2 linked regions of the Pelodiscus sinensis genome follow. Each later gene encodes a partner of the first gene's protein in a complex. Links are inferred from orthologs where the notes say so. Each region holds a gene or a part of one and is shown on either strand. Other genes may lie near its edges.

Region 1 (3,745 bases):
GTGTGACTATCAGTGGGAAATGTGTCCAAGAGGCAATGCCTTTATTAAGCTCTCATTCACATTATGAAAATGGTTAACAGCCCTTACCTAAAGCTTTATCACTTCTCCCAGCTGACCAACATCTCCCTATTGCTCCTGATTCCCATGAGAGCCATTATGATCTCCCTTTATTGTTTCTAGCAGATTCCTGACTACTAACCCTTCATCCTGGTAGGCCTGCACAATTCCTCTGGGCTCCTGATTAGTGGCACTTCCACTGCCAGCTGCCTCAAGAGGCCTCTATTCCGGCCTCAAAAATGTCACTCCTGCTTTACCACCTTTCCCCTGTGTGAACAATGGTGCTCCCCCCCCCCCCCGCAATGAAGCAGGGAACTGTATGAACATAATGTACAGCCCCCTCACTGCTTTGTCACTGAAGCCATATACATATTGCATCCCCAAATCCATGCCAAAAATTGAAAAAAAAATAAAAAGGGAAAGTCAAAAAATTCATGCAAATTTGCTGTTAAAATTTCTTGGAGGCTAGTGATTCACCAGAAAGTGCCACTTTCTGGATATTCATGCCCCCCAGTCAAGAAGGATGGAAAGCAAGATTCCCAGCTAAAGCAGCCTCTGTGAGTCACAACTCCACAAGAAATGCTAATACCAAGTTTGCCTGAACTTGAAGACAATCTTTTTTTGAAATTTCCTTTTATATTTTTTTCAATTTTTGACTGAGATTTTGGAAGGCAGCATGCATAAAAGAGAAAAAAATCATTTTTAAAAACAAATTTCTCTCCATGTTTTGTTAAGAAAACATTAATTTACTGACATTAAAAGAATTTTTAAATTGCATTTACTTCCCACCACCAGTGGAGCTGATTGTTTACGCTTTGCATTTCATTTGGCACAGACCATGGACATTGTGCATAAGATCTTGGGCTGCTTTCAGCTACACCTCTAGTGATATAAATCAGCCCAGAGTCAGCTTCTCTGGGAACTCAGGAAGGATCTATGAAGGAGGAAGGTCAGGCGGCACAGAGTAGGGATGTTAGATATAATGTAATTGAGTAGTCTGTGTAACTACATGAAATCTTAGCAGTTACACAAATATACCACAGTACCCAGGGGCAGGGCCGCTCCCACTCTTGAGAAACCTCTTGTCACCCCACACTGCTGCCTCTATATATGAGGCAGCAATATAGGATGGCAGACAGGAGCTGGTGGATCAGGCGAGCCAGTTTAAAAACCAATTCCCCCACACAATCCCCTAGCCCCATGCTGCTGCCTCTGATACAGAGGGTTTGAGCTCCCCACAGACTGAGGCTGCTGCCAGGGACAAGCCCCTGTCTGCAGCAGGCCCAGGCTCGCTGGGAACAAGGACTGCTCCATATTTGGCAAAGTAAGCACCGTCCTGAGTGTTCAGCAAATGCTTATGCACCAGTGGGAGCAGCTGCGGGTGGTATGTGCAGCTGCAAAGTCGGCATAGGAAGTACTGGGGGGGGAGGGGTTCCAAATACGGGTTCCCACCCTAGTTCTTTAATGTAGACAAGGTCCCACTACGCAGGCCAGGGAAGAGCAAACCATGGAGACAGGCCCTGCAGAGAACACCCTGTATCCTCTCGCAGCCAGAGCGCGGGGAGGGCAGGAAATCCCGGGGGCGCTGCTATTGCTGCCGCAGGGCGCCCAGGAACTCTCCTAAGGCTTCAGCACGGCCGGCTCCTGCCGGAGCGAAGGCGAGAGGGGGGCGAAGCCGAGCCGGTGCCGTGCGGCAGGGCGGGCAGGGAAGCCGGCAGGGCGCTCGGAGCAGGCGGGTCCCGCGGGCATGTGGCGGGGGCGCATCTGTGCACAGGCCCGTCGCCCTCCTCTCGTGTCACCCGCCTGCCGCTCCGAGGGACACTCGAGCTCCGGCCCGGGCGGGATGGTCCCGTGGCCCGATCCTCCCGCAGCCTTCCCCGGGCCCAGCGGCCCCGCTCGGGGCGGGACACCAGGGGGAGGGGGGGGCGCACTCCGCTCGGCTGCTCCCCTGCCCAGAAGCGCAGCCTCCCCCTCGGGCCCGGCCCCGCAGACAAAGGCTGGTGGGGGCGGGAGCCGCTCGCTCCGAGCCCCGCCGGGCTCCTCCAGCAGGGCCCCGGCAGCAAAGGGCAGCGGGAAGCGGCGGGCTGGGCGAGCCCGCAAAGGAGGCCCCCGCGCTGCAGCTGCAGCCACACGCTCCCCTGCGGGGCCGTGGGACAGACTCACCGCCGGGCCGGGCCGCGCCGCGCCGCTTTCTCCTTCCCCTGCCGCCTCCGCTGCAGTCAGGGGCGGGAGGTTTCGGGTTACAGCGCCCGGGACCCCCCACAGCAGCCGCCAAGCCAGAGGCCCGGAAAACCTGCCCGACCCGCCTCCCGGCTCCATCCCCCTTCCACACATCCCCCCTGCCCCCTCCTGTGCCCCTTCCACACCCCTCCTCCTCTCTTCCCCCACCCCCTCCTCCTTTCCCCCTCACATCCCTCCTCCCCCACCTCGCCTCCTGTCCTCACACCCTTCTATCTCCTTCCACGTCTCTCCTCCTGATCTCCCTCATCTATTTTCCTTCTACACTTTCTCTCCTCCTTTCCACATCTTTTCCCACCCCCTCCATCCATTTTTGCATCTCCTTCATCTTCTGTCCCACTTTCACTCTTCTGCTCCCCCACCCTGCTTTCCACTCCCTCCTCCATTCATCTTTCTTCCCACCTTCCTTTCTTTCCTCTATCAGTTTCCTGTTCTCTTCCCATGTTTCTGCACTCAGCAATCCCCCTTCCTACTTTTTTTTTTCCTGACAGGTGTCTTTTCTTTTCGCCTTCCAATCTGCTACAACTTTTCCCTGCTATTTGCTCACCCTTGGTCTACTCTCTCACCCCCTCTGCTATTTTTTCCCCTGTCCCCCTTCATACAGACTCACAAGACCAAATTCAGGGATGTAATATAACTTAAATTCCATTATACTAATTTAGACTTCTGTAGACATTGGTACTAGGGATGTTAAATATCGGTTAATTCACTAGTCAATTAACCTCATGAATTCTTGTCGGTTAGTCGACTATTCTATAGTCCCTGGACAGCCCCTGTCTGGAGGGAAGGGGTCTGAGCTCCCAGACCTGGCACAAGGCAGAACTGAGCCAGGCTGCTTGCCCACCTGGCTCCTAATACACTTTAAAGGCAGAGCTGCAGCGAGGTAAGTCCAGGACCCAGTGCAAGCCAGGACTGAGCTGGGCGGCTGGCCAGCCTGCTAAAAAGTGTACTGGCAAGGGGGAAGAGGGGGGAATGCATGTAGTCTATAGCATTAACCTATAAACTTTTCCTTATTGGTTAATCGACTACACTATTACATCCCTAATTGGATGTAACTTGAAATGTGTGTGTGTAAAACTGTATGAGCATAAAGGCATCTAATATGCATTACCACTACATTTGGCAGGCTCAGATGAGGTATGAAGCAGGGAAGGTATTTGCCCAACATCACATAATAAGTAGCAGAACCAGGAATAGAACCTGGCATCCTGACTCCTAGTTCCTTAAATCATCATAGCAAATGCCAAGAAGACACAGCCTCCTTGCTGATGATATGCCACCTAGATCAATCTGTGGCTACATATTTAAGGTGGCTTGGCTAGATATTCAGCTTGTTCATCACTAGCAATCTTAGTGCACCACCAAAGCTTTTGGCACCTAAGTGATCATTAGCAGGATAGTGACATTCCTTTGTGCATGTGCTTCAGAATTCATTGGTCTTTCATTCCAA
Region 2 (3,745 bases), on another chromosome or scaffold:
GGCTGTGTGTTTGAATAAAGGAGGAGGTTTGAGCGAGTGAGGATGAGGGGATAGCCATGCGTGTGAGGGCACATCTACATAGCAGCACTTAACTCAAAATAAGCTACGCAAATTGAGCTATGTCAACTGAGTAATTTATTTCTAAACAGGGCCGGACGGAGGCATGGGCAAAGCCGGGTAGCTGCCCAGGGCACCAACCAATGAGGGGCACTTGATGGCAGCTGTAAGGGGCGCGCGGTGTCCCTTACAGCTGCCATCAGGGGCCGTGCACCCGGCTTCCGCAGCACCGGCGCCAGCCAGCAGCGCCCTTCCCCCCCACGGCCGCGGGGCCCTGCTTGGCTCTGCGCACGAGCCACCAGCGCATGCTGGGCCGGGCTGGGCAGCGCATGCACTGTGCACCCCGGGGGGGGAGGGCCCGCACCCCACAGGTGGGCTCACACCTGTGCCGTGCGCCCGGGGGTGGTGCTGTGAGCCCGGGCCCAGGGCACCAAAAGAGCTCGGGCCAGCCCTGTTTCTAAATAGCTTATTTTGAGTTTTGGTGATGTCTACACAACACTTATTTCGAAATAGAGCACTCTTCCTCCTACTTCCCTTACTTCCCTTAGTCCTCATAAAATGAGGGTTACGGGAGTTGGAGTAAGAAGTCTTCCAGCTTGACAGTATTTTGACATTATGTAGAAATAAGTGCCAGTGGAACGACAGAAAGTGAAGCCCTCAGTTTTTGCGACCGTTGCGGTTTCTGTGTTTCTGTCTGTGTAGATGTGGACTATGTTATTTCAAAATAACGCTAGTTATTTTGAAATAATGTTGCTGTGTAGACATTGCCTAAGGGTGAGGGTGTCAGGGAAGAAAGTTTACAGAGTGAGGGTGTGAAAGGAGTGAGGGTGAATGTATAAAAGAGGAAAGGGAGGAAGTTTACAGAGGGTGTAAGGGAACGGGTGAGGGGTGAGTGAGTGCGGGGGGGCTGTGCGTGTGAGGGAAGGCATGAGCGATAACACTGTCTAGGGGGCCGAGAGGACGGCTCCGGGCACGGAGGAGCCGGCGGCGCGTGTGTGAGGAGCTGGTGCGGGCTGTGACGTGCGAGGGGAGAGCTGTCAGGGTCTGTGGGAGGGGATGGCTGTGAGGCTGTCCGTGTGGGCCGAGGGCCTCCCTTCCCCGCCGCTCTGTGCCTGCGCGGTGGGCTTGCGCTGGGGTATTTACGGTAAGGTGGACGCGGCTGTGGCAGCTCCGTGTCAGGTGATCATCTGAGCCGAGGAGCCGCCTGGAGTCGGAGAGGAAAATGCAAGATGGCCCGACGGGGCCGTGAGGGGCTCCCCGCCGCCCCCTCCCCGCCCGGACCCCGGCAGCGCAGGGCCAGCGGCGAGCGCTGAGGCCCGCCCCGCCCCGCTAGCGCCAGTCCCCGGCAGGGGCACCGAGCCATGGGGCTCTGCTACAGCCTGCGCCCGCGGCTCTTCGGGGACTCCGGCGGAGGCGGCTCCATCTCCAGCGCCGCCTCGGAGCCCGAGCAGCCCGCCGAGCATACGGCCCCCCCGCCCCAGCCGCTCGGGGCCCCGCGGGGAGGCAGCTGCTGCGGGCAGCCGAGGGCCGGGGGCCCGCTCCGCCCTGCAGACAAGCCCGGGGGAGAGGCGGACGGGCCGCCGCCGCCGCTGCTGCTGCAGAACGGAGGCGGCAATGGGGCGGCCCCGGAGTGGCAGCCGCTGCCCAAGCCCGGCGGCGGCAAACAGCCCCGGCAGTCGCCTCAGCCCGCCGCGCTGCAGAGACCCTGGGAGAAGCTGCGCCTGGAGGAGCGGGAGGCGGAGAAGGAGGCGAGGAAAGTCAGCAAGAGCATCGACCGGGCGCTGAAGGAGCAGAAGCGGGAGTACAAGCAAACGCACCGGCTGCTGCTGCTGGGTACGTGTGCAGGGGGGAGAGCCGGGCCGCCGCCGCCACGCAGCCCCGGCCAGCAGGTGCCCACCCTGGCGTTCCCCATAGTCCTTCCTTTGTCTGGCCTTCTCCTTCCTCTTCCCCGCTCTGCTCCCCCACCCGGCCCTTCTTCTTTCTCCTTTCTTTCTCCCTTCGCTTGATAGCCCAGTCTTGCTCTTCTAGCCAGGTTTCCACCTTTTTTTCTTTCCCTTCTCTGTGTCTCCCCCTTCTTAGGATCTGAAAATGGTTTTGCTGTGGAGAAAAGGGTTTGTCATTTAGCCCCATAAAACGGCGAGCTGCTCCACCCAGTCAGCAAAGCAGAAGTGATGTTGAGACGGGAATTAGCAGGCTTCATTTTCAGCTGGGAGGAGGAGGAGGAGGTGTGTGTGGTATGCGGTGTGTGTCTGTGTTGTCTAGCCGGGAAGTAAACGGCGCTTGTGTTGGCATTTCAAGAATTCGAAAATCAGATGCAGGGAAGATGAAAATGGCTTTGAATATAATTTGAACATAATTTGCTCCGTCATAGAACTTCTTTTTGCTACTATGTTGGACTTCTGATGGCTTAATGGAAAGTGAAGTGCTAGGATATAATGGATTGGTAATTTTAAGGAAGGACTAGGGCATATACATACCCATACCGAATTACTTTCCCCTCATAGCTCCTACTTGTTCCAAGGATCGTTGGTGCAACTATCTTTTTTTTTTTTTTAAACCAACCCTGCACGGGTGACTTTTTTTAAACACTGTGCTGCTGACCATTTGCTCTTTACATAAATTAGTTAATAGTCTTCCCTAGAGGCTTAATCCCAGCTAATACCTCTGTGTGCTTTTATACTGTATGAGTATCTACTTACCTGAAGGAAATAGAATAGTTAGACTGCGATTTTTTTTTTTTGGATGATTTAAGCAAAGGGGTTCCTGTGCCTCCTGAGTGTAATAAGAAATCTCTAATTTGTTAGTGTTGAAATATTAATTTTTTTGTACAGATAAGTGTTCTGTATTTGGCTTAGATTTCTACATGCATTCCAGACTGGACAGGTATATTTATTTATACAGCTGTACTTTACTATTAGCGGATTCCTTCATTTGCCTTTTGGGGTAGGAAGAACAAAACAATGTAATATATGGCAGTCTCCAAGACACTTCCTTATGTTAAGGTGTAGTTGAACACCTGATAATTATTATTGGGAGGGAGGCAAATTTCTACTGTTTGAAATGCAGGATATAAAAACAGAAGTGGCCTGTAATACACGCTTGGCCTGTTCAACTTAAATGCTTAAGGTTTAAAATGTATGTCCTATTAAGAATTTTTTTCTGATCTGTAAAATACTGTGGTTGATACCAGTGTAGACAGAAGAAGCTGTTGTCACTGAACATTGGCCTGCCTCTTAAGAGCCTGTTGTTGTTCAAACAACAGGTTGCTGGCAAATAGGTGAAGTGAGTGTAGTCTGTAATGGGAAGGTAATAAAATAACAAATCAGAGAGACAAAAAAATCTCTAAGAAGGATGCTGCTTTTCCTCTTTCCCCTCCCAATAAGCTGATACCTATACCAACATTATTAGCTCAACGCTTCAAAAATCTGAATAGTAATTGCAGTCTAATCTACATCTCTTCCTGTTGTCAAATTAGGGAAGAGGCAATGATGTGCTGCTGTCCTAGGCCCCAGTACAGGAAGGATTTAACCATGTGCTTAACTTTTATGCACTGTGGTACACTGCTGAGGACTACTTGCAATATGTAAAGTTTAGCATGTGTGTCTTTTAGAACTGGGGCCTAAGAAATTGACGTCTCATCCAACATCTTGGACGAGTAAAGCTGCAAGTGCCTTGTGTTGCTATCACT

The links. Proteins that work in one complex are often made in the same cells at the same time.
Region 2: the proteins of GPR161 (region 1) and GNAL are in contact, whole or in part, in a cryo-EM structure (PDB 8KH4), measured with the Homo sapiens proteins. The link is inferred for Pelodiscus sinensis from reciprocal best matches to the Homo sapiens genes GPR161 and GNAL. Residues at the interface, in NP_001254539.1 of Homo sapiens: Arg125, Ala128, Val129, Leu130, Pro132, Met133, Tyr135, Pro136, Met137, Ile139, Ile211, Val214, Ala215, Lys218, Ala219, Lys267, Ala268, Thr271, Trp327, Asn328, Lys329, Arg332; in NP_001135811.1 of Homo sapiens: Ala41, His43, Lys203, Val204, Phe206, Phe363, Cys366, Arg367, Asp368, Ile370, Gln371, Arg372, His374, Leu375, Gln377, Tyr378, Glu379, Leu380, Leu381.

Annotation. Positions count from the first base shown.
Region 1 is NC_134711.1:149,448,529-149,452,273, forward strand, and holds the start of GPR161 (G-protein coupled receptor 161), read right to left. Parts: upstream 2,354-3,745; 5' UTR 2,221-2,353; intron 1-2,220. UniProt on the Homo sapiens protein: Key negative regulator of Shh signaling, which promotes the processing of GLI3 into GLI3R during neural tube development.
Region 2 is NC_134712.1:86,762,713-86,766,457, forward strand, and holds the start of GNAL (guanine nucleotide-binding protein G(olf) subunit alpha), read left to right. Parts: upstream 1-1,046; 5' UTR 1,047-1,418; coding exon 1,419-1,890; intron 1,891-3,745. UniProt on the Homo sapiens protein: Guanine nucleotide-binding protein (G protein) involved as transducer in olfactory signal transduction controlled by G protein-coupled receptors (GPCRs).